2 linked regions of the Caenorhabditis elegans genome follow. The protein of the gene in region 1 purifies or fractionates together with the protein of each later gene. This does not show direct contact. Each region holds a gene or a part of one and is shown in the gene's direction. Other genes may lie near its edges.

The links.
Region 2: the proteins of sec-10 (region 1) and tfg-1 purify together in Caenorhabditis elegans (affinity purification with western blotting, with the first as the bait; one study listed by BioGRID). This does not show direct contact.

The regions. Positions count from the first base shown.
Region 1 is NC_003282.8:7,776,006-7,791,404, reverse strand, and holds sec-10 (Exocyst complex component 5), read left to right. Parts: upstream 1-8,905; coding exon 8,906-9,094; intron 9,095-9,143; coding exon 9,144-10,247; intron 10,248-10,984; coding exon 10,985-11,217; intron 11,218-11,264; coding exon 11,265-11,853; 3' UTR 11,854-12,024; downstream 12,025-15,399. Other genes in the region: rsp-6 (putative splicing factor, arginine/serine-rich 6), read left to right, coding at 177-230, 284-414, 461-568, 1,008-1,160, 1,208-1,301; imp-3 (IntraMembrane Protease (IMPAS) family), read left to right, coding at 1,916-2,065, 2,117-2,275, 2,546-2,648, 2,866-3,066, 3,302-3,528, 3,582-3,664, 4,132-4,235, 4,284-4,520 and 2 more; tag-322 (uncharacterized protein), read left to right, coding at 5,851-6,007, 6,050-6,195, 6,370-6,492, 6,538-6,866, 6,915-7,039, 7,093-7,157, 7,232-7,333; tag-321 (Transmembrane protein 65), read left to right, coding at 7,580-8,110, 8,456-8,599; rpap-3 (RNA polymerase II-associated protein 3), read left to right, coding at 12,442-13,065, 13,115-13,384; swd-2.1 (Anaphase-promoting complex subunit 4-like WD40 domain-containing protein), read right to left, coding at 13,533-13,769, 14,203-14,493, 14,848-15,096, 15,143-15,268, 15,315-15,380. UniProt on the Caenorhabditis elegans protein: Component of the exocyst complex involved in the docking of exocytic vesicles with fusion sites on the plasma membrane.
Region 2 is NC_003279.8:14,092,747-14,108,525, forward strand, and holds tfg-1 (Protein tfg-1), read left to right. Parts: upstream 1-8,575; 5' UTR 8,576-8,619; intron 8,620-9,300; coding exon 9,301-9,481; intron 9,482-9,533; coding exon 9,534-9,679; intron 9,680-10,329; coding exon 10,330-11,463; 3' UTR 11,464-11,724; downstream 11,725-15,779. Other genes in the region: fbxb-100 (F-box associated domain-containing protein), read right to left, coding at 3,513-3,595; tdpt-1 (5'-tyrosyl-DNA phosphodiesterase), read right to left, coding at 4,957-5,086, 5,272-5,555, 6,746-6,977, 7,111-7,205, 7,878-8,098, 8,148-8,222, 8,286-8,337; dnj-29 (J domain-containing protein), read right to left, coding at 12,048-12,173, 12,314-12,418, 13,590-13,925, 15,116-15,607.

The DNA.
Region 1 (15,399 bases):
AGTGTTACCGTACTACACGCATCGCGAGCAGCTGCGTCGCGTTTATTGAAATCATTTCGCGCGCGTTGCTCTCGAGCTATCTCCGTTTCACACTTATTTTTGTTTCTCAATAATTATTTTTTGAATATTCAAACTTCGTTCTTTTGCAACTTCATAAATTAATTTGATTTTTCAGTATGGACGCCAAGGTGTACGTCGGCGGTCTGCCGAGTGATGCAACATCACAAGAAGTGAGTTCAATCTTGAGCCATTAACAGTAATTATGTAAATATACATTTTTCAGCTCGAAGAGATTTTTGATCGATTTGGAAGGATCCGTAAGGTTTGGGTAGCTCGTCGCCCTCCTGGATTTGCGTTCGTGGAATACGACGACGTTCGTGACGCTGAAGATGCTGTCCGCGCTCTTGACGGATCGTAAGTTGTTTGCTTTGGATATTCGTTTAATGCTTCAAAATTATAGAAGAATCTGTGGTGTCCGTGCTCGTGTTGAACTTTCAACTGGACAAAGACGTGGCGGTGGCGGTCGTGGTGGAGGTTTCGGCGGCCGAGGTGGTGGCGGAAGAGACAGGTTAGTTGAAAATAATTTGATAGTTAAAGGAAAAGAGAGCTGTATTAAAAATTTTATTCGGTAAAACCGTGGACCAAATTTTTAATTTTAGCGGACTCCGCTCGTCCGCGTCCCCATCTGCCATCCCAAACATCACTATCTTCCACTCCTCTCCGTCTTCTGTCTTCACGACACATTCTTCTCTTCCACATCGCTACGCGCCCTTTACTTCTCCCAAAATCATCGCACCAGAATTGTTTTTGACTCTTTTCATCAGTTAATTCTCCGCAGTAGTTCCTGAATCGAGCTTCTGACAAAATCGTCTCATCATGCCTTCGTCGGCTGAATCTTCCCATTCAGTAAGAAAGTTACATCTACCTTTCTTTATGCTGCCATCTGCAGGAAAGATGTATTCGACAAATATGCAATATTCGGAATGTTTTAACATTGTTTATTTCAGATCGCCATACCGAGGAGACCGTGGACGTTCCCGTTCACGCTCTCGTGATCGTGGACGTGATCGCAGCCGCGACAGAAGCCGTGATCGCAGTCGTGACCGAAGCAGAGATCGCAGTCGTGAACGCAGTCGCGAAAGAGAACGTACTCGTTCAAGGTAAGAGTTTTGGATATAGTTATTTAAATTTAAATGAGAAATTTCAGATCTCGATCTCCTCAAGAACGTGATCGTTCTCACTCGAAGAGTCGCTCCCGCTCTCGAAGCCGTTCTCGCAGCCGTTCTGCTTCTCCGCACTAAATTGTGGAAGATCCAAGACCATACAGTATCTTCTCCACAACATCAATTTGCAACCCTAATTCCTCCGAAGAATCTCGAATCAATGATTTAAAAAAGTTTTCACTAAATTTAATTTCTTTGTTGTTTAACCGAATTTTACCATTATTACCTTTCACTGTTCTGTCTTTTTTTATTTTGTTCCTCTTTTTGTAACCTAAAATCGTGAACTTTCATCCATTTTATAAACTGTTGTCGGAAAATAAAAGTAATATTTCGGTAATTTGTGAACGGGGAAATCCAGGGAGACCTTATTTTGTGCGACTTTTTGCTCTGTGAGAGCGTTTTCGAATGTGTAAACAACTGCTTGGAGAACTAGAGAGCAGCACGTGTTTGTGGTGCTCTTTAAAAATGTTGGTCACCGGCCAGCAGTAGAAGATTGATTTTCCCACACATTCTTTATTTCTCTTTATGTGTCGTCCCACCGGCAGCAACGCACGTTTCTTTTTTGTTTCGTATGGCAAAGGATAAACAGGTCTTTATATAGTACGGTTCTACTTGATTTCTCTTCGTCTCTTGCCATTTTTGTTTTCGTATCGTCTCACAGTTAGCACGTGCTATTCCCAGAAAGAAAAAGTATGTGTACTGATTCAAAAAAAGCTCAGGATTCGCCACCAAAAATGCGAGACGACGTGGCAAAGATTGCCGCATCGGCGAGCATTTTAATTCTTTCATGGATTGTACTTTATCACTCCTGTCGAAGGGCATCTACAATTTACTTTTTCGAGGTTAGTTTTTAATAAAATATATTTCTTTAAATTAATTTTAAAAAATTGCAGCTCGATTCAACAACTGTAATATTCATGGATCAGGTTCCTGCAATGATTCTCCCATTCGTTTTCTCTATAGTCTTGTATTTTGTATATTTGGGAACTAAAAGAAGCGCCAATATCGAACGAGACAGAGAAATTGCTAGAGAAGCTGAAAAAGAACTCAAGGTGATTCTACTAGGAAAATGCTGATTTAATTCAAAATTTAAAAAATACAATCACTAGTTTTATGTAAAATAGTTAATTTTTCGCTCTAATTCCCTTTCAATTGTTGAAAATATCTTTCGAAAACTTCTTGAGACTGTCATTCTTGTCAATTAAACTCGGTCTGGTAATCAAAATCAACCAGTTCAGCGTAATTCCCCTTGATTTGATTGATTAATCGATTCATTTCATGATGTGATTGTTTGTTTCTTCTTTAACAGAAAATTGTTTCAGACATCCTCTTCATTCAACTCTCGAAAGGTTTCCCGTGAGATCAGCAGGCGTGCTTCCGTTTCATTAGGAGATGAACAGGCAGAGCAACAGCAAAGAATTCGAAGTAAGATTATCAAAATTGAAGGAAACTGATAAATTTATCGTCCTATCATATCAAATTTCTCTCATTTATTTCGAAATTATACACATTTGTGTTCAGAAAAGTTCATTCTACAGTGAGAGAAATCTAGTAGATAGTAATTTCAAGTGAGCTCGAAATTTCCTTTAATGACCTACTTATAAATTTGATTCGTATATATATATAATTGTTATTTTTCTAGGATTGCTATCAGATATTGAAGAAGCAGACATCGAAAATACAGTTCGAAGCCATCGTCAACGAATGGAGGAAGAAGATATTGCACCGAAATATGTGGATGATAATGAAAGTGGACAAGATACACCTCCTCCAAGAAAGTTAACAAAATCGAGATTTGTAGTAGAAAGTGCAGAAGATGGCAGTAAAATTATTATTCCACCAGGTATTATTCCACCAATACAAGTGCTTTCAAAACTCTTCAGAATTTTAAAAAAGGGAAATAATATTGACATCCGAAATATATATTTTTGAAAAAATATTTTATCTCGAAAAGTGGAATTGACAATCAACTCTGTAATTTAAAAAAAACTACCGCAACTAAATCTTCAATAAATTAAATTTTTATGGAAATTTGTTTTTTTTTAATTATAATTATTTTAATCATATCACTTTTTCAGAATCGTCATCTGTTACACCAGAAGTTCGTAGTCGTACTAACTCAAAAAGTACTCATGATCTTATGACAACACACAGAGGATCTTCAAGCAATTGGATATCTGCAAGTCAACGATCAAGCAGAAAATCTTCAATGGGTGGATCACCAGATAAAAGTCAAATTGTATGGACTACCGGAGAAGAAGGTACGACGGCCGAGAAATGTGACATTTATAAAAAACTCGGAGATGTAAGTTTTCTGTTTTTTTAAATCAAATTTTAATTTAAATCATATTATTTCAGATTGACCTATTTTCCTATTCACTAAGTGCGTTGAGCCTACTTCCGAGGAGTGATGATGGACCCAGAGTTTACATTCAACTTGAGTGAGTTTTTATTTGATAAGGAGCAAAACAAATAGTGAAAATTGAACTAATAACAAAAAGTGCAAATGAAGATATTTATAAATTGGTGTTGAAAAAAAACATCTTAACCAGGCTTGGGAGCGTGATTTGATGAATATATTGGGACATTTTTCTTAATTATTGGTTTTTGCAGCTTGTAATTTCGAAACTTTTATTTCATAATGTGAAAACGTTCATTTTATTCCAGACACTGACAACTTCTCAAAAATTTTATTATGCAGAAAAAATAAATTCTAAAAAAATCCAAAATGTTTTGCCAACTCTAGACACCAGGAAATTTCATTTTAAAATTGTGCGAATACCCACTTTTGGAGCAAAAAAAGAATTGAAAAAGGATGCTTCATGGATATATATTTATGAAATACAATCAATAACTAAAAATTTGAATTATTTTATTGTTATCAAAACTTCAAAATAAAAACGTTCAGTTTGCTCGACATAATTGCTGAATTGTTTGCTGTTCATGTGCCTATCTGGGCATCCGTTGCATGTATTCATATAATTCTTTTGGAATCATTCAGTCAGCATATGTGTAAGTTAATATTTTTAAAGCTGAAACTCTAATCTCATAATTTTACAGCATTCTACTTTTATTATCATGAAGAATCAATGATGTACGCTTCTCTTCTTGTATCTCTCTCATTTGGACTTTATCATGAATGTTCTGGTAATTGGATCTCTAACGACATTCTTGCTTTTGCATCGATTTACGTCGTGTGTTCAAGAATTCAAGCTGTGAGCTATCAAACTGCAATTATATTTGTCATTGGAATGTCGCTTTTTGATCTTTTCTTCCTTTATGTGGTGGATCTTTTGAGTAAGTTACTGGAATCGTAGTCTTGCGTCCACGAAAACGCTGGAATGTTTGCCTTTATAAACTTCAGTCTCTGTATAAAAATTAGCAACTTTGAAAAATTAGCACCTGATATCGTGACGAGACCCACGCGGAAAACATCATGTGCCTTTAAACGGACATGACAAAATTTCGCGAAGTTACGATACATAAAATTGAAGTGTTCATAAACTGTACTAAACATTTTTTAAATTGTTTTACGAGACTGACTGAAATAAAATTTTCGATTTTGCGATTTTTTACATTGTTTACTTTTTAATATAGATGTTTTCAGGCACAGTAGTCAAAGAAAATCGTTCTCCTCTCATGATCCTTGTACCTCGAGACACAAAAGGAAATAAACAAAGTCTCGCTGCACTTGATATAATGGTTCCTGGAGTATTTCTAAATGTTGTTCTCAAGTACAGCTCAATGTATGATACAAATCTTTTTGCAATCACGTTTGCCGCAGTCTTTGCATCACTGGTTTTCTCAGTTTTCTTTTCTATATGGAGGTAAAAACTGTTTTAAATTCTACTTCTTACAAAATACTCTTTTAACAGATCAAAAACAACTCCGGCTATGGTTCTCCCAGCAATTTCTGCAATCATCTTTTCAATTGGATTTGCAAATCATACCGACGACTTATGGAAATTTATGATTAAACACTAACAATCGATTCAAAATTAATGTAAATAGATAATCTTACTTTTCTACATGCTTGTTCATATTCATATCTGTATTTAAATTGTTTATTTTGACTTCCGTGAAGATCAATAACTTTTCGTCTAGGGTACATTTCCACTTGCCATTTTTAATTCATCGTTTTTTCTGATGAATTATTTCTTAAAATAAAATGATTCTCGGATTTTTAGTTGGTTTTTTTAACATAAATAATCCAGTAAAGATGATCATAATGTATTCTTCGGAAATATATTCCTTCCGATCGGAATTCCATGAGAAGAAATAAAAAAATGACACAAAAACTGTTCCCGCAAGTGCGCTCTATCGAACGACCTATGTACTCCACTCGGAGAACTCTAGTGTTGAGTTCTTTCGGCAATTTCTCTCCTGTTTTTATTTGTTCTTTGCATATATTAATGATTTTAACGTAACATTTAATTAAACATTTTTTTAATAATATCAGCAAAATCCGCTGTCAAATATTTCATAAGATGTCACCACTTCGTCAGTTTTCAGTGACTGGTGCCAGCCTTCCATTCGATTATTTAGTGTAAACTTATTTGTTGTTTACTCCATTGAACACATTTTCTCTAATACCCCTCTTGAGCCAAATCCCGACAATTTTTCAGGAATGTCAGATGGAATAACTCTCGATTTTGCCAATCAAATTATCCAATATTGTGCAGAAATTCGAGAATTGTACGAAATTGAAGAATACGTCCGACAGCCGAATGACCATAATTTACTAGAGTTTCTTTATGATCTCAGTACTTTTTTGCTTGAATTAGGTAAGGAATGAAGATAATACAATTAATTTATTTCGTTTTCAGAATGTCCTCATGAAGAACTGACATGCGGTGATATTAGAACACGTTTCCAATCTTCATCAGCAAAGAAGCTTCTTGAAAGTTTTCTTGATTCAGAAGTCAAAACTGCTCGTCTCATTACTAGACAAAGAATTGAATCGGGTGAAATTGTAAGTTTTCTTTTGAAATATTGCATTTAAGTTGCCAAAACACAACTGGAAATATCTCGGATTTATCATTAATCACATTTTCTCAAATTTTTGCTTTATATTTTCTATTTAACTTTGTTTTTTCTTGCTTTTTAGTCTCAAGTCCCTCCACTTCGACCTAAATAATTCATTAAGGTCTCCGAAAAACGTGATCTCGAACTGACTCCACTTATTGATTCTGCCCTTCGAACACTCAACTTCCCTAAACAAGCAGGAAATTCTAATGAATGGAAACTCTTGGAAACTTTGAGACAAAAGGTATTAATAATTCATTGAAGAAACCCTCTCAAATTCTATTTTCAGACAGATGGACGCGTTTCCCAAAGTCAAAGACATCCACTTTTCAAAGCGACTCTTGATGAAAATACACTTCCTGAAATTGAAAAACAGTGTGAATCGTTTTCTCGTGATTTTTACAATCGACTTCTACTTCTGAACAGTCGACTCAAGGTCACAGTTGAATCATTTTTATGGAATGATCGCCTCAAGATGCACAGAGAGAATATTCAATCAATTCTTTCTGCTCGTGTCGATGAAATTGGACGAGTTAAAGCGAACAGTGACGTAGCTCATCTTCTTTCTGCAAGTTCTTCATTGCTCTATATTCAAAAAGCGTCATCTATGGATAGAAGGTATTTTTATAAAAATGTATGGTAAAAACTATGAAATTGTATTTTCAGAGAACGAACAAAAAGCAAACAACATCCACTTTCAATTATGGATGCTCCAAAAGATCGTGGAGGACGCACAGAAGAAATGGTTGGAGTGAAACAAGAATCTTTCAGACAACAACAACATACTTTTGGTAAGTTTACTCATTGTTAATTGCGGAAAATTTCTTGAAATAACTATTTTCAGATAGGCAACATTCCCAAAATCGACAAAAAAGTACTTTCGACCGTCCAAAAACTCACGAGGAGCAGGTTTGTTGTGTTCAATCTTTTTCTAGCCATTGTGGCGTCATTAAAACATTGCTCTTATCAACTGTCATTTCTAGGTTCTCGAACAACACACTTCACGAGACAATAGTGGACAAAATTGGAGAGGAAGAGGTCGTGGAAGAGGCAGAGGACGAGGAGGCGGACGCGGATATCATTGAAATTTGATGTTTTGTCGTTTCTTATTCTTTTCAATTCATTCGGTGTTTTTTTCAAAATGGGCTCACAGTTCCTTTTTGTTTTAATTTATGAAAACTGTTTATAAATTGAATGTTTTTCTTTTTTTTGAAAATGGTTGTTTTCCAGTCAAATCCCTCTCACTCGTTATTAATTATGTATTATTCGTTAAATTTATTGGTCTTCTCATAAGTTAAATTACAGACCACGGCTTGCCGAAAGGCAAAAAAATGATCAGCTCGCCAGCTCGTCTGGCTTTTGCCATGATCGGCAGAGCGAGCTCTCGAACGCTTCTAACAAACCATTCTGTCACAAGTATCCGTCTATCGACTACAGCAGCTTTCAAACATCTTGATAAACTGATAATTGAAACTCCAAATGATGCTATGGAAATTGCAAGTCGTCTGACTATCATTGAACAACAGATGTTGAAATCGGCGTTAGACGATTGTTTGACAAAGAAAGAAGATGGGAAAGTAGAAGAACTTACTCAAGAGCAAGTAAAAGGAATATTTCTAGTCAATTCTATTCCTTTTATTGGATTCGGTGTTCTTGACAACATGATTATGATCCTAGCTGGCGAGTATATTGATCAAAAACTCGGGGCCGTTCTAGCTATATCAACTATGGCAGCCGCTGCACTCGGAAATCTTATCTCGGATATTGCTGGCGTTGGTCTCGCGCATTATGTAGAGGTTGCAGTGCAACGAGTTGGAATTAAACATCCTGTTTTGACATCTCAACAATTGGACAGTGGAAAGGTGAAAAAGGATCTATTGATTGTTTTTCAAAAAATGATAAAAAGTGTTAAAAATTTTATTCACACTGAACTTCTGCCCGAATAAATTCAGTCTGCAGCTGCTGCATGCAGCAGGGGTACAAATTGTGCCAATGTGGCATGTTTTCTCAATTTTTTTCAATAAAATTTAGTGATAGAATTTAGAAAAATATTTGTTTTATCTGATAATGAAGTTGAAAATTGCCGATAAATTTTTGAACGTTTTTTTACCAGAAATGTTCAACTACTGAACGAAAATGAGAAAAATAATCGTCTTTTTTCACACTCTAGAATTTTTAACTCTTTAAATTTAAAAAAATGATTTCAGGCCAGGTTCACAACGAATGCTGCAAGAGCAGCTGGTTTAACAGTCGGATGCTTACTCGGAATGTTTCCATTACTTTTCTTCAGCGACGACGAAGACGATGAAAAAAAGAAGAAAAAAGAATTGAAAGCAACTAAGCTTGAATAGAATTAGAATTTCTCATTGTAAATATTTAACTTTTGTTCAAAATACCTAAATGTTTCTGTATATTGCATAATCTTGTCCCTCTGCCAATACTAGTCAATCATTTCTATTTCCCTGTATGCCATTTGCATTTAAAAATTCCCTGTTATTTGCTCAAACTTCAATGTGCTTTACTCTATTTTATTCTTTAGTATAAAACTATCAGAACTGATAAGGTTTGAATAGATTATTTAATTGGTTCTTTATAGCCGTCGTGTATATTTTATATTCAAAAGTGGTTTTTCATGCTTTAGGAACAAATAATTACAGATGAGTGGTGGACAATATGTGACATATGTACAGGATCTAGAACAGGAACCGTTCGACGCAATTGATCTTGTTGAAAAACTGGCATGGAGAATGACCGGAAGTGCTCAGACTATAAACGATCCGGTTTCTTTGAAAATGCGATTCGAGGAAGAAATTGGCAGTTTACAGATGCTTTGTGATCAGTTTCAGGTTATTTTTCAATTTTCTGTTCGCATTAAAAAAAAGTGGAAATTTTTAGAACAAAATCAATACTCTTGAAAAGCAAATGAACGAGGAAAAGAAGGATTATGTACAAAAACTTCACCGTCTTCACGAGAAAAATGGAGAAGCAATTGATAAAATGAAACAATTAGATCATACAATGCAAGCAGTCTCTACAAAAGTTGTTCATCTTGGTGATCAACTTGAATCCGTCGATCAACCACGTTCACGAGCTCATGATGCTCATCAATTGATGCAACATTTCGATGAATTCCTCTCAGATCAACCTCTCAATTCCATGATTTTCACTGATCCTGATAAGCTTCTCGAATCTGCCGATCTGGTGCATAAGCTTTATTCAATTTCTCAGGAACTCAATAAGGACAAATTTGCAAATGTTCAAGCTAGAATTGGACAAAGATATAAAGTTGTCGAAGACTTGCTAATCGAAGAATTCGTCAGATCTCAACGAGATGAGAAGAAAATGGCAGAAGTTGCGAAGATTTTGAGCGAGTTCAAAGGTTATTCGGGTTGCGTCGATCGATACGTCGATTTCTTGTGTCAATCAATTCATCCACGTGGCGATGGTGGAGAAATTCTAGCGGATTGCTTGCAATTATGTCGAACTCAACAACCAAGAATATCTGCAATATTTCCATCTCCACACACTGTTATGCAGAAATTGGTTCTGAATATTTTCACAGGACGAATGAAAGAAACAATAACTGCAAGACTTAGAGAATGTAAAGATACAGATGATCAAGAACATTATCTCCGTGATTTGGCATATCTCTATTCGAGCACTTTGAAAATGTGTAAAGAATTGGAAAAACTTCATATCAGCCCAGACAGTGCATTTTTATCAACTCTCACTGACTCTATTTTCCAAAGATACATAGCTACGTACTGCTCGGAAGAGTTGAAATATTTGAATGATCAATGTTCGAATCTCCTTCAAAGATTCTATGAATCAAAAAAACACGTAAAGAAACAAATTGGAGGTGGATTACACGAGTTGAAACGAGATGTGGCTGCAAGATTAATGAATGTGGAAACTTATGGAGGAGAGACTTTTGTCGCTGAAGATGTCGCCATTTCGATTCTTCAAGAAACCAAAAATGCGTTTGGGCGGGCAAATCAGGTACGAATTTTGATGTTTTGAAACTGCAAAAAATGAAAGAAAATTTTAAAAAGTTTGAACGCTCTCTTGTTATAACCTAAATCTACCGTACTCTCCTACGTGACGAGACCGTCGAACGGAAATTTTTAAAGCAATAATGAAGTAACAAGATTTTTTGCAACATTTTGCATAAATTCTTGGTACTTGATTCTTTTGCAAAAGGTTTAAAAATATCGTCAAACACGAAAAACTGATACAAATTCAAGTCTGAAACCCGCCTCGCCGAATTTTTCGATATTTCAAAGTAGTTTTCAACAATTCCAAATTTCAAATATTAGTGCTGGGTTACTGTAGTTTTCAAGAAAAAAAAACGTTTTGAGCTTTTTACGAGATTTTCAGTGTCACCTGTGGCTTTCAGCAAAAATTTTTCGACCAAAAAACGAAAAAATTCAAAATTTTTCCTTTTTCCGACTAAAAATCAACATTTTTGCAATAAAATTTGTATTGGTTCGAAAAAAACCAAGAAACCCATTTTTTTTCCAAAAGAAACCAATAAAACGGTGGGGTACTGTATTATTTTGTTTTAATTTTTCTTTAGGAATATTCAAAAAATATTCAAGTTTCCGAGTATATTTCCTAAAAATTGAGAGTTTTGAAATAATATTCGGAATTTTTTTCCAAGCTTCTTTCAAAATTTTAACGTATAAAAAACCTAGCATTTTTGCAAAAATAAATTCGAAATTTCAACTTTTTTGCAGTTATGTGACAAAGAAGAGCTGCCAAGACACGTGGAAAATATCGTAGACGTTCTATTAAAATATCTTTACGGAGAACATTTGGATTATGCTGTGGAGACAGGCTTGGCTGGAATTTCTCTTGCAGAATCAAAAACTGAACCACCTGCCTACTTTTTCTCGGTTGTTGCAAAATGTACCAGTGTCATTTTACTTATGATTAAACAATTTGAAGATCCCATTTTCCCTATTATCAAGTGAGCTTAATTTTTATTAGAAAACAAATAAATATATTTTATTTCAGAGAAACAATTGTCGAACCATCTGTTGCCAAGAAATGGCAACAATCTCTGCGTTCTTTGGAATCAAAAATGAGTTTAGGATTGGAACGGCAATTGAATTCAATCGTAGGATACGTGAAATTCTTGTTCAGCGAACAAAAGAAAACTGATTTCCGTCCGGATTCTCAGCAAATTGATATTCGAGTATCCCCACAATGTCAATTGGCATCTCGTTTTCTTGCAAACCAAGTTGCTGCAATGGAGTTGGGATGTGATGGCGAAAATTTGGAAGCACTTCAATCTGATCTTGCAACTCGGCTATTCAAATTCATGCTTACACATATTCAACAGTTCACATATAATTCTACTGGTGCTGTACTTCTTCTTTGTGATGTTGGAGAACTTCGAACTCTTGTATCAAAATGGAGAGTTCAAAATGCACTGACACAATGGGAAAGTCTTCAAGCTCTTACCAATTTGCTCGCCGTTCTTCCCGATCAAGTTAATGAAACAGCTCACTCCTCGTTGCTCGAAAATGTTGATAGACAATTGATTCATGATTTTGTTCGACTTCGAACCGATTTCCGATCTATTAAAAATTTCCAAATTTAGTTGTTCAAATATATTTATTGCCTTTTTCGATTTTTGTGAATGTCTATTTCTTATCCAGATGCTTTTTTCTTGTGATAGATTGGATTTTTAAACTTAATCTTGAAATTTTTTTAAATAAAAACTAACACTTAATACCGTTGCGGGTATTCTTGTAAATAAAATGCTTGCTTTTTTTTTTTAATATCTGTTTTTACCCAAGTTGGTAGATAATTCCATCGCATTGTTATTTGTTGTTACCAAATTGTGAAATGTTGCTTTTATTTAAAAAAAAAACGCTTTCTGCTCTCACCACGGAAAACAATTTTCAAATAAAGGCTGCGCTAGGGCTGACCCCAAAACACAAGAAATTAATTGTTTTAAAACCCAAAAAACCAACAAGAAAATTGTTTTTTCTCTTCTTTAAATTTTTAAATTTTGTTTTTTTATTCGAAAAACCCCAAAAAATCTAATAAGATTTCAGAATACTGATGAATGGGTTACTGTACTTGTAAAAGGTTTTTTCGTGTCTTGAATGAATAAAAAGTATTCTTGGAGATAGAGCTTACTTGTGAATTACCTTATTTTGAAATAAAATATTTCGTTTCAGAAATGGACGAAGAAAAAAAAATTGCACAACGTCTGAAAGAGCAGGGAAACGAAGCTTTTAAGAAGAAAAAGTATCATAAGGCTATGACAATCTATTCGAAAAGTCTTGAACATTGGCCTGATCCAATTGTATTCAGTAATCGAGCTCAAGCTGGGCTCAACGCAGATCTTCCTCTACTTGCCCAAATCGATTGTACTGCTGCACTAAATTTGGATTCAACTGCAGCAAAAGCTTACTACAGAAGAGCTCAAGCCTTCAAAGCACTGGAATTGTATGAATTGGCTGAAAGAGATATGAAAACTTGTTTCAAATATTCGAATGATCCAAATATGGAGAGACAAGCAAATGATCTGAAAGGAAAGAAAAATGTGCAAGTTATTGATCTTCCGTCAATCGAAAGAGACGAATATCTACAATCAGATGAAAAATTCACAAAAATCGACTTTACGTACAATATTGAGAAGATCGAGGAGATCATTGTCGCTGAAGAACCAGAGAATGATAATATTGTTCCAAAGTATATAACAAAGCTTCCACCACACCCAAAGGACTATCAAGATTTTGTTGGAGCTGTGAATATGTTGAAAAGAGCCCAAAGTTTGCTTCCTCTTGCAGAATATTTCTTAGTAAGTTGGAAATCTGTGACGTTTCAGAATTAATCGAAATTTGTTTCAGAATATCAGCATGGATAAATATTCAGAATTATTCGATGAACTCCTAGACGATGTATATGCTGTTCAAATCTTCAAGGCACTCAACTTTCATCTGAAAACTGGTCGCACGATTCCCCATCTCGCCGCACGAATGATGATCATCAGTGAACTCAGTCGTTTTGATCTTTTAATCGCATTTATGTCCGAAGAGCAGAAATCAACTATTACTGAAATCTTGGATTATATGGTTCCAGAAGAAGCAGCAATGGTGTCATCAAGATATTCTTTCTGATATTGAACTTTCTTCATTTCGAATCTCAACTTGTTGTTACATTCATATTGTTGTTTTTGTGAGTAAAAATTATAAATATCGTAATTTTAAAATGTTGAATCGAGATCAATGGGGAATGATTTGAAATGTGCTATTTGCATCTTTTTGTTTAAAGATTCTGAGTGTATTCTTCACTGGGTGCCCATAATATAACTTCTCGTCCTAAAGATGTCATCAGGAATTGTTTCTGATTGAAAGCAACTACATGTGACGGTTCAGGATAAGGAGTTGGAAGCTTGCAAGTCACTCCACCCGTTTCTGTTGAATAGATATAAACGTTTCGGTCTGCGCTTCCTACCATTACGAATCCAGAATCAGTGGAGACCGATGCTCGAAGTGGGATTTTCTGAAATAGAAAAGATAATTTTGTTTAAAAAATTATAATTTTTCAAGTTTTTTATAGAAAATAACATTCGAAATTCATATTTGCTCAAAATGTTTAAAGAAACGTTTATAATTGACATAACTTGATGTTTTTCGTCTTTTTGTAAAATCGTATTGTTGGCGAAAAAACTATTTTCGTTTTCGTTTTCGAAAAAAAAATTGGATTCAGTCCTGATTACAGTAACCCAACTCTCCTTAATTGAATTTTTTTTTCTTTTTCACATTTTGTTTTTTTTTTCATCTAGATTTTGAGGTATTTATTTTACTCTTGATATTTTTCACTAAAGTTTCACAAAAAAAAATGCCTTCGAGAGATATAACCCGCATTTTCGCTCAAAATCGCAAAACTTCGCTACTGAGTAACATTTAATTTTCGCTTATCAAAAAAAACTGACATTTGGATTTTTGTGTTGGGAAAAGCTGTGAATCAGTGTTCCATCGAAAGCATCAATCCATTTAACACTTCCAGCTGTCGTGGAAATTAAAATAAATTTCCCACATGGAGAAAACTCGATATCCGACCATTCATCATTATCAGTTTTAGTAATGATAAATGATTGGAATGGACCCAAGTCGAATGATCTCATGTCAAATAGTTTGATTGTGTCCGATTTTGTTGCAACAGCGAATAGAATTCCATCAGGATCAAAAGCAATTAGAGGAGTGTGTCCAGCTAGAAGGCATCCCTGGAAATAAATAATTGATTATTTATATATTGAATTTTTTACTGCAAAAAATAGTTTTTTTTAAATATTGAGTTGGATTAAATGGAAATTTTAGCAAAATATTTTGCTGTTAGGAAATCCAAAAAACCAAAAATACCGTAAAAGAAAGCGGAAAAAATCGAGATAGAGTGATACATAAATCCAACTTTTAAAAACGCGATTTTTCAATTTTAGCTAATCCTCCTTTTTATTTTCCTCCAAAATGATTCTTTCGCGATTTTTTTCGTTTTTCTTTAGTGGTATTTCTGAATTTGAGACTATTTGAGATATTTTGAAGCAAAATCCCCATTCACTTCCACTCCACAATTAACTTACATAGTTCTCAAAAGTTCTCGTATCAAACATTCGTATTTCTCCATCCACAGAACTTGACAAAAACTTTTCACGGTCTTTCGGATTTGTTCGTATAAAATTAACCGGCATACGGTGGCCATCAAAATAACGGACATATGATTTCTTTTGTAGATGAAGTAATCGAATTGTCGTGTCATTTGGACCACTGTGAACACATTTAACTGTGTCCAAGTATTCCAAACAATTGACTCCATATTTCTTACACTCTATCTGTGATATTTATAATTTAATACGATTAAAATATAAAATATCTCACTGATTTTCCTTTAGATCCATCTCGAAGATCATAAACAAGTACAACATCTTCTGCAGACACAATCAAATTATTTCCATCGTCTGAATATGCTAAATCGAGAAGTTTATTTGATGTTTCGTTGAATTTCTGAAGAAATTTATTAACATATAAACTTTTTTTCGTCGAATTTTACCTTCGAAGGTGTTAATGCTTTAAAAGCTTCTGGTTGAACTGTTATAAGCTCTTCATCATTGTACATCTGAATTGAAGTTACTTTT
Region 2 (15,779 bases), on another chromosome or scaffold:
AAGTTATTGAATGCCATTATTCAAATTCCTATCTCATGGGAAGAAAAGTTCAAATTCTGTACCAACAGCTCGCCTTGCGTTTTACAATAACTTCTCAGGCAACTCAAAAGTAATCTGGATATTTTTCAGTAATCTAAATGAAGATTATTTCTAAGAAATTTGGAAATTTTGTAATATTTGAAGGGATGCGAGCAATCTCTACATATTTGCGATCAACCTTTGGAGATTTTTTTCTTAGTGAAGTTATAGAATGCCAATGTACAAATTCCTATCTCATGGGAAGAAAAGTTCAAATTCTGTACCTGCGTATATTTTTTTATAACTCCGTTCTTTCCACAAGAAAGGCCTTCTTCCCATGAGACAGAAATTCAAATATCGGCAGCATTCATAGGTACAGAATTCGAACCTTTCTTTACATGAGATAAGAATTTTATATCAACCAAATTAACCCTCCAGTAAAGTGGGACCTTTGATGAGTATAATCATTCTGATGATATTTAATTCCGATGATTAATCCATTTTTCTTTCTCTCACATTTATGAACTAAAAATGATTACTAAATTAAGGCGTGATATTCTAAGGTGTGATAACATATGATATTTATTTTTAAGTTTAAATAAAGTTTTTTTAATTTTATTTTTGCTAAAAGAACGAATAGTTTACAACCGCCTCGCTCAAATGTATTTTGATAAAAGTGGCTATTTAGGCTTAAGCCGCGCCATACCGCCGGTGTGTCATAAGGATTTCCAATATTTTATTCCAGTTGGGCATCCTAGTTTTTTTTCGGGCCCTTAGGCTTAAGTGTGTCATAAGGATTTCCAATATTTTATTCCAGTTGGGCACCCTAAGTCTAAATAGCTCTTATTCTTTTCTTTTGCGCTCCAAGCGCAAGGAAAAACCTTCTTGTAACTTTTTATGAGGGTTTCATATATTTTATTAAAATCGGGGCGAAGCCCTGATTTTAAATTCATATTGTTTTTGTTTTTGTCTTCCACTATCCCTGCAAATAGGAAAGAGAATGTGTTCTTTCTGATGAAGTAAAAATCATCATAAAATCTTGAAAACTGAGAGCAGGAGGTAATATTTGAATATATTGGGTTGTAAATGTGTGTCTCTCTGTGGGTGGGGTGGCGATGTGTTGGCAGCCAACCCTTCAACGAACTGTATCTCCCGCCTGTATCTCCCTTCAAAGTGAGAATTGGGTTACAAAAATTTGAGGGAATATGAAAAAAGGTGTAAGGATTTCAAAAATATTAGTTTTGAAACACCAGACCAAACCACTTTTTCTGGGCAAGAGGCAAAAAATTAATTTTTTGAAAAATTTCAAACTGGCACAAAATTTTTTCAAAAACAAATGTTCACAAATTGTTAAAAGATTCCATTTTCTATCAATATTGTTCATGGAACACAGGAAAGAAAACAAAGATTCATCAAAAAATGAGTGAAAAATCGCAAAAATTCGAAAAAATCAGAGCTGAAAAACTCGATTTTTTGGCGGTGCTGAAAAAAATTTTCACTAAAATTTTTTTGAAACTTAGTTTTTCGGATTTAGCGTCAAATTTTAAATCTAAATAAAAAAACAAAATTGAAATTGATCTCAGATTGAGTGAGTAATAAACGCTCAAAGTTGAAAAATTAACAACGCAAAAACGGCAGTAACTTGCTTCAAGGTCGATTATCTCAGTGCGTTTTCACTCAATTTTCAAAATTTTTTTGCTGTATCGCTTTAGAAATATTTTTAATTTCATTTTTTTTCCTCAAAATCAAAATATCTCAAACGACCGCCATCCTACGAGAAGGGAAAAAAAAAGTTTTTGGAAAAAAAATCAAAAATTTTTTTTCTGCCTCGATTTTCAAAATGAAAAAAATCACTTTTTCGGAATAATTTTTACTTTAAAATGTACCTACGATTTTTTTATACAATAATTTCACCTTGGAACCAAAGATTTCTCAAAGACAACAGCGCACGAAGCGGTGGTTTGCGAAAAAACACGAAAAAAACACACCGAATTGCGAATTTGACTTTGGAGCTCTCTAAAAGAGCTCATAGCTGATGGATCTGGATGATTTGTATGTTTTTCGACGCATCTCGTCGAGTACTATAAACTGCTAAAAAATCTCGTAAAAATCGCAAAAACTCGAATTTTCCTGCAAAAAAAAGAGGCGAAAAATGAGAAAAAAAACGTGATTTTTGGAGGATACTTGAAAATACTCTTCATATCTCGGCTCAAAGAGCTCCAATCTTTCTGAAATAAAGCATACAAAGGTGGGGCAAGCTTCTTGAAGAGACAGCAAAAAACCGCATCAAAATCCATCCACCCACCGTCAAGTTACACGCGCGTTTTCAAAGTGAACAAAAAACAGCACATAAAAAAATTTAGACGCCCGCACCCGGACTCGAACTTTTTTTATATTTTGAAGCTTAATATCTCGGCTCCTGTACATCGAAATTGGCTCAAAATTCACAAGAAAACTTATTTCGCTACGGTAGTGCTGTCATTAAATTTTCGTGAGCTTAGGGAGAAAACTGACAAAACGCCAAACTTTCAAATTTTAAAAAATAGTTGAGGGTCATTTTGAAAACACCTTAAGCTCCATAACTCGGCGAGTTTTGATGGAATCAATTTGAAATTTTACACGGAAGCTTCTTGGTGGTCTATACGCCTCTGTGTAAAATCGCTTTGATCGGCCAACGGGAACCCTTTGAAAAATGAAAAAAACGCTGTAATCCTAACCCTAAATAGCGTCAGTGGGGGAGCTAACGCTCCCCCACTGACGCCAAGCCTAGGTCTCAGTCTAAACCCTTAGCCTAAGCCTAAGCCTGAGCCTAAGCATGAGCCTAAGCCTAAGCCAATGCCTTTGCGTAAGCCTAAGCCTAACCTTTTGCGTAAGCCTAAGCTAACGCTCCCCCACTGACGCCAAGCCTAGGTCTCAGTCTAAACCCTTAGCCTAAGCCTAAGCCTGAGCCTAAGCATGAGCCTAAGCCTAAGCCAATGCCTTTGCGTAAGCCTAAGCCTAACCTTTTGCGTAAGCCTAAGCTAACGCTCCCCCACTGACGCCAAGCCTAGGTCTCAGTCTAAACCCTTAGCCTAAGCCTAAGCCTGAGCCTAAGCATGAGCCTAAGCCTAAGCCAATGCCTTTGCGTAAGCCTAAGCCTAACCTTTTGCGTAAGCCTAAGCTAACGCTCCCCCACTGACGCCAAGCCTAGGTCTCAGTCTAAACCCTTAGCCTAAGCCTAAGCCTGAGCCTAAGCATGAGCCTAAGCCTAAGCCAATGCCTTTGCGTAAGCCTAAGCCTAAGCCTAAGCCTGGACCTAAGTGTAAGCCTAAGCCAAAACTTCTTCCTAAGCCTAAGCCTAAGCTTCTTCCTAAGCCTAAGCCTAAGCCTTAGAGACAGTGAGCAAAACGTGTTGTAAATTTTTTTACCATCGATTTTTGCCGGGAAATTCAAATTTTAAACAGTTTCGGGCCCTAATAGCCTAAAATCTATAAATTAAGAATTTAAAGACTTACAAATCCAAAGTATCCATACATTTTAGGGCTATTCGGCGGGATTTCGGAGGAAGTGATAATATTGGAAAAGGTAGAGCAGGCATTGGCGGGAGGAAATATTGGAGATATGGTGACCCCTTTGCAGGCCAATTTGGTTGTCAGGGAGTGTTCTTGTCTTCTCTGCGTAGTCTCTAATAAGACGGACAGGTGGGGGGGAAATATCGATTCTCTAAAGAAAAAAAAATTATGGTGCATCGACCCCCCAGTCCTTTGGCAGCCTTACCTCCGGAAAACTCTAAATTTAAAATTTTTTTTCAGGCCAAATTAGTTTTAAAAAGACACGAAATCATCTGAAGAAACTAAAATTTAAAAAAAAAATAGAATTTTTTTTTTCTAAACATTTTCCAAAAAAATGCCCGAATGGCGCAGTGGGATTTCCGCCGGCTACCAATCACGAGACCGGGGTTCGAGTCCGCGCTGTGACAACTATTTTTTATTTTGCATGTTTTGTGAGTTTTAGGTAATTTTGAGCAATTTAAAACGGAAAAATCTAGAAATTTAGAAGGAAAAGTTTTTAAAAAGTCGAATTTATCAATTTTCTAGTTTTTTTTGCTTCTAAAAATTTCCAAACCGATATATTTATTTTTTCTGTGGCTAAACAACACCCCTAGAGGCCTAACATAACAAAATTTTCTGAGCAATTTTAAAAAAATTGTCCGAATGGCGCAGTGGGATTTCCGCCGGCTACCAATCAAGAGACCGGGGTTCGAGTCCGCGGCGTGGCGAATATTTTCAATTTTTTGCCAATTTGATGTGATTTTTAGCAATTTAAAACCTCAAAACCTAGAAATTTAGAACAAAAAGTTTTTGAAAGTTGGGTTTTGAGTCGAAATTATCAATTTTCTAGTTATTTTCTTCTAAAAACGATTTTTCCTATAGTTTAAGATAATAACAATCATCTAGAGGCTTATAAATCAGAAAAATCGAGTTTTAAGCTTTTCGAAAAAAAAAGTGTCCGAATGGCGCAGTGGGATTTTCGCCGGCTACCAATCACAAGACCGGGGTTCGAGTCCGCAATGTGGCAAAAATTTTTATTTTCTATTTGTAGTGGTTTTGAGATGAAATTTGTTATTTTAAAGCTCGAAATTTAAAAAATAAAATATTTTTTTATCCCAAAATTTCAATTTTCTAATTTTTTTAGGCGCCAATTTTTTTTTCCAAAAAATGAGCGATTTTCTATAGTTTTAAAAGAAAAAAAAAAGTGGATTTATTTACAATCAGTATCGAAAATCGAAGATCAATAAAAACAACGAGTTTTCAAAAAAAAGGGAGCTTAGATGAAAAAAAAAGATTAAAACCCGGTGACAACTGGGAGGTAATTCCTGGGTAAAAATAGTGAAAACCGGTCGAAAAACAAGTGAAAATGGGTAAAAAATGATGATTTAAGGCTTATTTAAGGCTTATTTCAGGCAAAAAACGTGGCATTGATAGCCCAATGATCAGATGGGAAGCACAAACAGGAACGGATGCGTTGGCGGCCTTCAAGTGTGAATTTGACTTTGTCCAGTGGTCCAGACCAGTATAGGCGGTCGAATCTGAAAATTTGAAGCTTTTTAGATTTTTTAAAAAATTGAAAAAAATCGATTTTTGTTTATTTTTTAAAAAATGATCGAATGGCTCAGTGCGCTTTTCGCCGTCTACCAATCACACGACCGGGGTTCGAGCCCCCGGTGTGGCAAAATATTTTTTATTTCTTTTTTATTTGTCTCTTCGCTTTTACCTCATCTTAGCGCCATGGAATCCCTGTTTATTGTCATTTTTGAAGGTGTCCCACGTGAATTTTGTCTTATTATCACTGCCGGCAGCCTCCCAGGCATCCTTAACACCGTCAGGCACACGGCTGACCTCCTCGTCTCGTAAGTTCAAATCGCCGCCGAAAAAGACGAGGGCGCCCGGGTTTTGAGCGATGATTTCACGGACTTTGTCCATGCAGAAGCCGAATTGAGCACAACGTTGCGGGCGGTGCTCACGTGTTGATTCGAGATGGGTGTTAAGTAGGAATACCTGCAAAAAACGAGAAAATTGGTTGAGGCTCAGGCTACAAACTACAAAAATTTGTTAAATTTGCCGAAAAGCGAATGATTTTAATAGAAATGTTCAGTTTTCTTTCAAAAAAATCAATTAAAACGAGGAAATTCTTCAGTTTTTTTTCGGGAAAGTGGTTGTGGCTCAGGTTACAAACTACAAACTCGGCTTAGCCTCACCAAACATTTCCGAAGCGAAATCTGATGAAAATACTCGAAATTTCCCTCATTTTTCTTCAAAAAAAGCTCCAAATTTTCAAAATTCTAGGGATTTCCCTCAAAAATCAGAAGAAAAACTGAAAGAATCAGGGTTTTAACCAGAATTCCGAAAAAAAAATTGGTTGAGGCTCAGGCTACAAACTACAAAATCGGCTTAGCCTCACCAAACATTTCCGGAGCGAAATCTGGTGAAAATACTCGAAATTTCCCACATTTTTTCTCAAAAAAGCTCAAATTTCCATAACATTTCATGTATTTCCGACAAAAATCATTGAAAAATTCAAAAAAATTACAAATAAAATTGATTGAAGCTCAGGCTACAAACTACACATTTGGTTAGCCTCACCAAAGTTTCAACGAATTTTTTTCGAACTCACACTACATACTGTGATTTTCAGCTAGAAATTGCAGAATTCTGATTGAAAAAAATCAATTATATCTCGAAAATCTTACAACAAAAAAGAGATTTTCAGGAAGACATAGGGATTTTCCGTAAAATTTGACCGAAAATTGATTTTAAAACCTGAAAATCTAGATTTTTTCAGTGGAAAATCCCATTTTCTGTAAAAATTTGAAGTTTTTTGCAAGAAAAACAAGAGGGAAAACATTTGAGGGGAAAAATTGGTTGAGGCCTACACTACAAACTACAAATGTGGTTAGCCTCAACCAATATACATTTTGCTCGATTTTAAGGTATTTTTTGCGGAAATTGATTGATTTTTACGGGAATTTTTATATTTTGTTTTGAAAAAATGGATTAAAATGCGAGAATTTTTCAAAAAATCTTTTTTTTCAGTAAAAAACTGAAAAATTCGATTATTGCGATAAAAATTGATTGAGGCTCAGGCTACAAATTACAAATTTGGGTAGCCTCAACCATCATTTTCACTCATTTTTAGCGGTTTTCCGGGATTTTTTCTTAAAATTTCGTCTATTTTCTGAAAAATTAACCTTCAAACCGCCAATAGATCCCTCCAAAATCTGCAAAGTTCTGTACATTCCAGAATTCTGAAAATGAATGACGTCATGCTTCTCGACGTCGAACATTTTCGACACAAGAATCGCCGTATAATATTGGCAGCCTTTGTTCGAATAATAGATTTTATACAGCGATTGAAGCTTATCAATCGGCGCCAAATCACGGTCGACGACTTCTTGGAGGAATAGGATGTCCGGATTGACGCTGAAATTTTTTTTTGGCGTTTCAGGTTGATTTTTGAAGATTTTTGACGGTTTTTAGTGATTTTTTTGCTGATTTTGCATCAAAATCAACTAAAAATTTGAAAATTCCGTGAAAAATCGCCGATTTTGCTCACTTTTTGACAATATGAGCCACTGCTTTCATTCTTGTGAGCAAGCTTCTCCCGTCGAGCCCATCAATGTTCCACGACATTACGCTGACTTCGAATCCCTGAAAAAATTTGAAATTTGTTGGAAAAATCGCGAAAAAAGTGAATTTTTTTTTGGTGAGGCTAAGCCGAGTTTGTAGTTTGTAGTCTTAGCCTCAACCAATTTTTTTTTCGGAATTCAGGTTAAAAGCGTGATTTTTTTCAGTTTTTCTAAAGATTTTCGAAGGAAATTCATGAAATTTTATGGAAATTTGAGCTTTTTTGAAGAAAAATGAGGGAAATTTCGAGTATTATGCTTCGGAAATGTTTGGTGAGGCTATACCGATTTTGTAGTTTGTAGTCTTAGCCTCAACCAATTTTTTTTCGGAATTCCGGTTGAAAGCGTGATTTTTTTTTAGTTTTTCTACTGATTTTTGAAGGAAATCTATGAAAATTTATGGAAATTTTAGTTTTTTTGATAAAAAATGAGGAAAATTTCAAGTATTTTCGCCAGATTTCGCTTTGGAAATTTTTGGTGAGGCTCGGCCGATTTTGTAGTTTGTAGCCTGAGCCTCAACCAATTTTTTTTTTCGGAATTCCGGTTGAAAAAGTGATTTTTTTCAAATTTTCAATGATTTCTGTGAAAAATCACTGAAATTTTACGGAAATTGCAGCATTTTTGAGGTTTTTTAACTCGAAAATCGATGTTTTTAGGTGGTTTGGCTTGATTTTGCTCCAAATATTCTTCTATTAACCTTCAAATCCTCTGCCGTCATCACCGCAGCTCCAGAGCTCGCCATAGACGATGAAGCGCCCATTACGGCCGCACTTCTGGCCTCTGCGAACGCCTCACTCCCGTAAAAAACGTCCAGAGCCTTCTTCAAATCCCAGTCTACATCCTGTAAAATCGACTGCGCAAAAGCCTCATCTGTGGCCGTGATTATTGCAAATTCATGCAGTTTTTGCTCGTCGCTCACTGAAAAATCGCGGATTTTCGCCTTAATTTATTGATTTTTCGGGTTTACTCGACGAATTTTTCAGTTTTCCTTGCTCCGGCTCATCTAGAATCTCGATTTCGACCTCGGAATCTTCTTGGGACACTGAAATATATTTTATTTGATTTAAAATTCAAATATTTTGAATTTCCAGCTGCAAAGCCTTACTTTTCTGTCGTTTAGCCTCAATTTCCTGTATTTCATCGTCAGAATTCGACATTTTTGAGCTGAAATTAGAGGATTTTATCATATTTTTTCAGAAAACGCGAAAAATCCACACGATAACTATTGAAATTCAAAAAATCGCGAAAAGAATAACTGAAAAGGCGGAGTCTAGCCGGGGGGCGTACCCTATTTGCAATCCTGGCACGCGTGTTGCAACTGCGGCGCACTTTTACCGAACGTGGAATTTTATATCGCGGATTTGGATCGTTTTTCTTCCCGTTATTTTCCCATTTTTCCTTGGTTTTCTTGCAGAAAATCCATAAAAATAGCAAGAAAAGTGAGTATTAGAGGTTAAAATCGATATTTTCACCATAAAAAAACCCCAGAAAACCGGCAAAAAACGATGAAAATCCGTGTGGAATTTTTTTAGACCTAGTTTCGCAATTTTTTCAATATTATCTTGAAGATTTTGATCTATTTTCGTGATCTTTACTTATTTTATGTGCCATATCCCGATTTTTATACCGAAAACCCGCGAAAATCTAGAGATTCCGATGGAATTGCTTTATTATATTACACGTGGAACTATTTTATTTCTTGATTTCTGCCGGTTTCTTGCTTTAAAATCTTAGAAAATAGCGTTTCAAGTGGGTTTTAGAGCCGAAAATTTAGATTTTCGATAGGAAAATCGCCTAAAAATCGATGAAACCATATTTTTGGCCTACTCCCGCTCTAATTTTGAAACTTTGATCTCGTTTAGGTCGAATTTCAACTAAAAAGTCGAATTTTCCTGTCAAAACACATGAAAATCCAAAATTTTCGTAAAAATATGAGCTCCGGATAAACTTGGGTGAGGCTGAGCCAATTTCGTAGTTTGTAGCCTGAGCCTCACCAAAATTCGGATTCTGTGTTTAATTCTTGATTTCTAGTTGATTTTCGCCGGTTTTTTTTTGCTTTTTTCTTTCTTTTTCTCCCGCAAAACCCAATTTTCCCTTTAAAAAACCCCCGTTTTTTCCAGATGGTGCATTCAAACGGAGCCATCACGAGCACAATTCTGAAGGCTCGTCACGCCGACGTCGTCCGCAAGACGTCACTTCACCACGCCAACGACTTGACACTCATCGATCTCGTGCTCAATGTGCAGCGGCTTTTGGCTCTCCCATCCGACGCGAATTTCGTGTTGAAGTACAAGGATGAAGGTAGGAATTGCACTGAAAATTGCGATTTTAATTCAATTTTTGTCAATTTTAGAAGGCGATTTGGTGACACTCGCCGAGGATAGCGACCTCCTGCTGGCTCTTCACACGTCTGGAGCCACGCTCGACGTGACCGTCGTTGTCGACTCGAGAGCTCGTGAGGCTGTGCACGATGTGCAGAAGCAAGTCGAGCAGATTAAGGTAAGGAGGATTTTGAGCGAAAAAAAACGATTTTTGAGCTGAAAAGCGCAATTTTGAGCGGGAAAATGCAAAATGTTGCAGAATTTTCATCGAAAATGCTGCATTTTTGAGCTTTTTAGACAAAAAAAAATCCGGAAAAACACTGAAAAATGTTGGTTGAGGCTAAGAAACAAGTGTAGTTTGTAGTGTGAGCCTCAACCAAACTAGCCAAAGCTTGAGTGAGGCTATGGTGATTTTGTAGTTTGTAGCTTTAGCCTCAACCAAATTAGCTAAAGCTTGAGTGAGGCTATGGTGATTTTGTAGTTTGTAGCTTTAGCCTCAACCAAATTAGCTAAAGCTTGAGTGAGGCTATGGTGATTTTGTAGTTTGTAGCTTTAGCCTCAACCAAATTAGCTAAAGCTTGAGTGAGGCTATGCAGCTTTTTTTTGTTTATAGTGTGAGCCTCAACCAATTTTGTTTTTAAAATTCACAAAATCTTTGGTTTTTCACTGAAAAATTGGAGAAATTTCAGCGTTTTCATTGATTTTTAAACAAAATTATCCAAATAATCGGTTTTTTTTTTCAATATTTTTAACACAAAATGGCTAAAAATTGGAATTTCTAGTACTACAGCTAGCGAAAAACGAATTTTAATTCAATTTTTCTTTCAGCTTGATGTTGGAAAGCTTCTTGGCGCTCTCAGTGCTCTCGACGTTGCCCAGATCGCCGAACAATCGAACACATCGGTGGCGAATCTCTCGGCTCCAAAACAATCTCACCACGACAATATTGTGTTCCAAAAGAGCTTCGAAGCGGCTCCACCATCGCCAGTGCCTTCCGAGAAGGCCGAGCTCCCGGCGACGATCCAACCGTCGGTTCACGAGCAATTCAATCATCGCCCGGCGCACGTTGAGGAGGAGATTCCGTTGGAGAATCACTATGCTCCACCACCACATCAGCAAATTCCCGATGATCTGAACACTAGCTTCAGCTCCCAGCCACCGCCACCAATTGAGCAATTCGGAGCGATTCCGCCACCGAACGCGACGATCCCGTCGTTCCCAACGTCGAATGCGGCGAGCCCACCAGTTCAGGAGTTTGCTCCACCGCCTCCACAGCAGCAGCAGCAACAATTCCAGGCTCCACCACCACCGATGGCGTCGCACTCTTCGATCTCGTCGACTCCAGTGCAGCAGCAAGGATTTGCTCCACCGCAGCAGTTTGGCGGGCCACCACCGTCTGGACCACCATCAGAGTATGGAGGATATGCTCCACCACAGCAGCAGCAGCAGCAATTCGGAGCCCCACCACCGCAGGGAGCTCCCCAGCAAGGATTTGGAGCACCGCCACAAGGGCCACCACAGGGAGGACCACCACAAGGATCCTTCGGAGCTCCACCACCCCAGCAATTCCATGCTCCATCACCACAATCGTTCGGAGGGCCACCGCCGCCAGTATCAAGTGCTCCAGGAAACTTTGCCCCTCCACCACAATCGGGACCACCGGGCGCTTTTGCTCCACCACCATCCGCCTTCGGAGCACCACAGGGGCCGGGAGGCCCAGGAGGCTACGGTCCACCACCGCCAGGAGGCCCAGGAGCCCCAGGATCGTACGGACCACCACAAGGAGGCCCAGGAGGATTCGGACCACCACCTCCAGGAGGCCCAGGAGCCTACGGACCACCGCCAACCGGATTCCCACCAGTCGGAGCACCGCCACCGGGAGCCGCCGGAGCCCCGGGAGGAAATCCATTCGCACGAGGACCATCTGCCACGGGATACCGCCAGTCGCCGTATCAGCAGTAATTAATCGATAATTTATTGATGTTTTCTTCTTTGTTTGTTTGATTCCCATAATTTAAATATTTTATGTTTTCCCCCGTCCTTCCCCCCTAGTGTACAAGTTTCCTTTTCTACTCGCTCGCCCCTGTTTCCTTGTGATATAGCGCTGGAGCGCCTTTTCTCTTTTCCACGTGGAATTCACATCAATTCTTGTCGTCTTCTCTCTCTCTTTCTCCTTTTTTTAGTGGTATATAATATTTATGATATGAATTTAAAAAATCTCGGGCTCCTGTCTCTGAAATTCTTTTTAATTGAAGCATAGAAAAAAGGGTCTAAATTTCATGTAACTATGTAGAGGAAACATTTTCAAAAGTGATGTGATTGGTGGGAAGGGAATAGAAATAATAATGCATAGGGAACACGAAAACATACAAATTTTTTTAAATAAAATATTTAATTTAATTACTTTTAGAAGAACAGAAAACCCAGTAGAGAAATTGATTGAAATTTTTTTGGAGAAAAGTGCGGGAGAACAATGGGGGGCCACTGAAGAAAAATTGAAAAATAAATTAACGAATAATTTGGAGAGCAATTGTTGGAGCATTTCGCTACTCTTCATCCGAGTCATCGTCTTCTGTATAATCATCGTCCGACGACACTTCGACGGCTTCATCGTCCTCATCCACGTAGTCGTCGTGCTTGATTTCGACGAATTTCGCCTCTTTCACGTCGATCTGCAATAATTTTGAATTTATTGTTGAGAAATTTGCTGCTTTTTGTGTCGAAAATGGATTTTTTGAGGAGAAATTCGCCTGAAAATATAATTTTTTACAATTTTTCGCATTAAAATCCGTCATTTTCAATCAAAAATCACCTTAAAATCAACACTATACTCCGCATCCATATAGGAATCCGATTTGACCGACAAATTGTACGTGTAGATTCCTTTGTGTGGTGGAGCCGCGAATCGAATGTCAATCTGAAAGAAATCAATAGGAATTTAGTGGGAAATGGAGTTTTTAGTGCAAAAATATGCCATTTTTTGGGGCGAAAACTTCAAATTTTGGCATAGTTTTGCCAAAAAAATCGTCAAAAACGTAGGAAAAAATTGTGGTTGAGGCAGATTCTGTAGTTTGTAGCCTGAGCCTTACCTAACGAAAAATACAATTTTTTTCTTTTTTATCTGTAATTAAGGAAGGAAACAACAAATTGTTTAGAAAAATTGATCGTTTTTAGCATTTTTTTTCTAAAAAAAATCCATAAAAATTTCAGAAAATCCCGATTTTTAACCGAAAAAGCATTAGAAATATTGGTTGAGGCTCAGACTACAAACTACAACTCCCATTAGCCTCACCCAAATTGGTTGAGGCTAAACCGATTTTGTAGTTTGTAGTGTAAGCCTCACCGAGATTTAGTGGGTTTTAAATCGATTTTTCAACTAGAAAATGCTGATTTTAGGATAAAATCCTTCAAATTTATAGGTTTTCAACGCTAAAATTCGAATTTTCCTTCAAATTTCCAAGAAAAATACTCAAAAATCGACATTTTCCGTGTCAAAGTCCTTCAGAAAATCCCGATTTTCAACCGAAAAAGCATTAGAAATATTGGTTGAGGCTCAGACTACAAACTACAACTCCCATTAGCCTCACCCAAATTGGTTGAGGCTAAACCGATTTTGTAGTTTGTAGTGTAAGCCTCACCGAGATTTAGTGGGTTTTAAATCGATTTTTCAACTAGAAAATGCTGATTTTAGGATAAAATCCTTCAAATTTATAGGTTTTCAACGCTAAAATTCGAATTTTCCTTCAAATTTCCAAATTTTCAAATTTCCAAGAAAAATACTCAAAAATCGACATTTTCCGTGTCAAAGTCCTTCAGAAAATCCCGATTTTCAACCGAAAAAGCATTAGAAATATTGGTTGAGGCTCAGACTACAAACTACAACTCTCATTAGCCTCAACCAAATTTGGTTGAGGCTAAACCGATTTTGTAGTTTGTTTGGTAAGCCTCACCGAGATTTAGGGGTAAAAAATCGATTTTTCGACTGGAAAATGACGAATTTTAACTCAAATTCGTCAAAAATCAACATTTTCCGGATCAAAATCCTCCAAAAAACCAGATTTTCAACTCAAAATCCTTCGAATTCGTACCGTTTGCTCATCAATCAGTGTTTTAACGAGTTGTGGGAACGTCAGCAACTGCCGAGACTTCTCCTTTTTATCCACATATGCTACCGTTATCCACCACCATTCGAATTTCTCAGTCGGGAAGAACGGAGCATGAACAGTGTGAGTTTGTGTGTTTTTCGTCTCGAATATCGATTTTTTGCTATTTGCCACGTCATCTTCCCATTCCGAATCGGTTTGATCATCTTTTTGATCTCCTCCGGCGGCGGCGGCTCCGTCCTTCTCCGAATCAGAAGCTCCCGATTCTTCATCTTCAGAATCTGAAGCCTTCGAATTTTTTTCGTCATCATCGTCTTCTTCCTGGAAATTGAGTTAAAAATATCGAAATTCCCGATTTTCTACCGTGAGGCTCAGACTACAAACTACAAAACGCTTTATTAGCCTCACCCGAACTGGTTGAGGCTAAACCGGTTTTGTAGTTTGTAGTGCAGTAAGCCTCACCGAGATTTAGGGGGTTTAAAATCGATTTTTCAACTAGAAAATGCCAATTTTTGGATAAAATCTTTCAAATTTATAGGTTTTTCAACGCTAAAATTTGCAATTTTTCCTCAAATTTCCTGGAAAAAATCGGATTTTTAACTTAAATTAGTCGAAAATCGACATTTTCCGTGTCAAGAACAATTAAGCCTCAGTAAAAAAAACTATTTTTTAATACAAATTTCCCATGGAAAACTGAAATTCAGCATTTTCCGGCGATTTTCTAGAGTTTTTAATGATTTTCTGTGAGAAAAAATGCAAACTTTGGCTGAATTTTATCGAAAATTCGATTTTTTCAAGCATTTTCACTGGGAGTAGCTCATTTTGGCAATTTTTTAACAAAAAAACTGCTACTTTTCTCAAAATGTTCTAGAAAAATTGCTCAAAAATATAGTTTTTAGTGTGAATTTTGCTTTTTCAGTTCAAAATTTCCAGAAATGTTGGATTTTTCAGAACAAAATTGTGATTTTTAGTTAAAATTAGTGGATTTTTTTGTAATAATTTTGTAAAGCCAGGATTTTTTATTACAAAAATCGCCAAAAATCCAATTTTCAGGGTGAAAATCGGCTAGAATTCAATTTTCCTTGTTAAAATTATCAAAATTCCAGCGTTCTGTCTGAAAAAACACGAATTTCTAAAACTCTCTACATTTTCGCTGGAAAATTGTCAAAAACTCAATTTTCAAGGAAAAAAAAAAGCAGAAATTGCAATTTTTCAGGGATAATTATCAATAATCCAGTTTTCTCAACAGAAAATAGGCCAAAATTCGATTTTACGGGTAAAAAATCGCCAAAAATCCGATTTTCACGATGAAAATTTGTGGGAAAATCGATTTTCCTCACTTCCAATCTCCAATCTACAAATTTATGTATATTTTCGCTGGAAAATTGTCAAAGCTTCAGTTTTCGAGCAAAAAAATTGCAGAAGTTGCAATTTTTCAGGGATAATTATTAAAAATCAAGTTTTCAAGAGATTTTTTTCGCAAAAATCGTCCAAATCTCCTCTCTCAGCACCTTAGCCTCCTCCTTCAAAGCCTTCTCCGTGTCAGGTGAAGCCGGGGCGTTCTTCTTCACAAACTTCTTCTGGCCCTGACCTTGAGCCTTCTTTTTCTTCTGTTTCGGCTTATTCTTCTCCCACGGCTTCCGTTTCTTCACTTCTTCCTCCTCAACAGTAGCAGCAGCTTCTTCTGGAGCTTCCGATGCTTCCAACTCATCATCTCCACCATCTTCCGCATACTTTTTGTACTGATCAGCGAGCCCTGCTTCTTGTGGATCAATTAATCGGCTTCTTCTCATCGTAACTTTCAGTGTAACTACACATCCAGCCGTCAGTTCATGCTTATCATCTTCTCCTTCTACAACTGTCTTCGTCTCGATTTGTAGACGTGGCATCATTGATAAAACGACCATTACGTCACGATATTCCTCATTTGATAGGGATCGAAGGACGGAACGACGGGTTTCTGCATCCATTACAGCTAGGTCATGGCACGAGAATACACGCTTCTGAAATTAGTGGAAATTAGTGAAAATTTGTTAAGAAAATCGGGGTTTTTTCATTTTTTTCCTCTAAAAATTAAAAATTCCCCGAATTTCCAGTGATTAAATTGGAATTTTCATGATTTTTAGATTTTGAAAAAGCGTTTTTAGAGTACAAACTTAAATTTTAAGCGCTGAA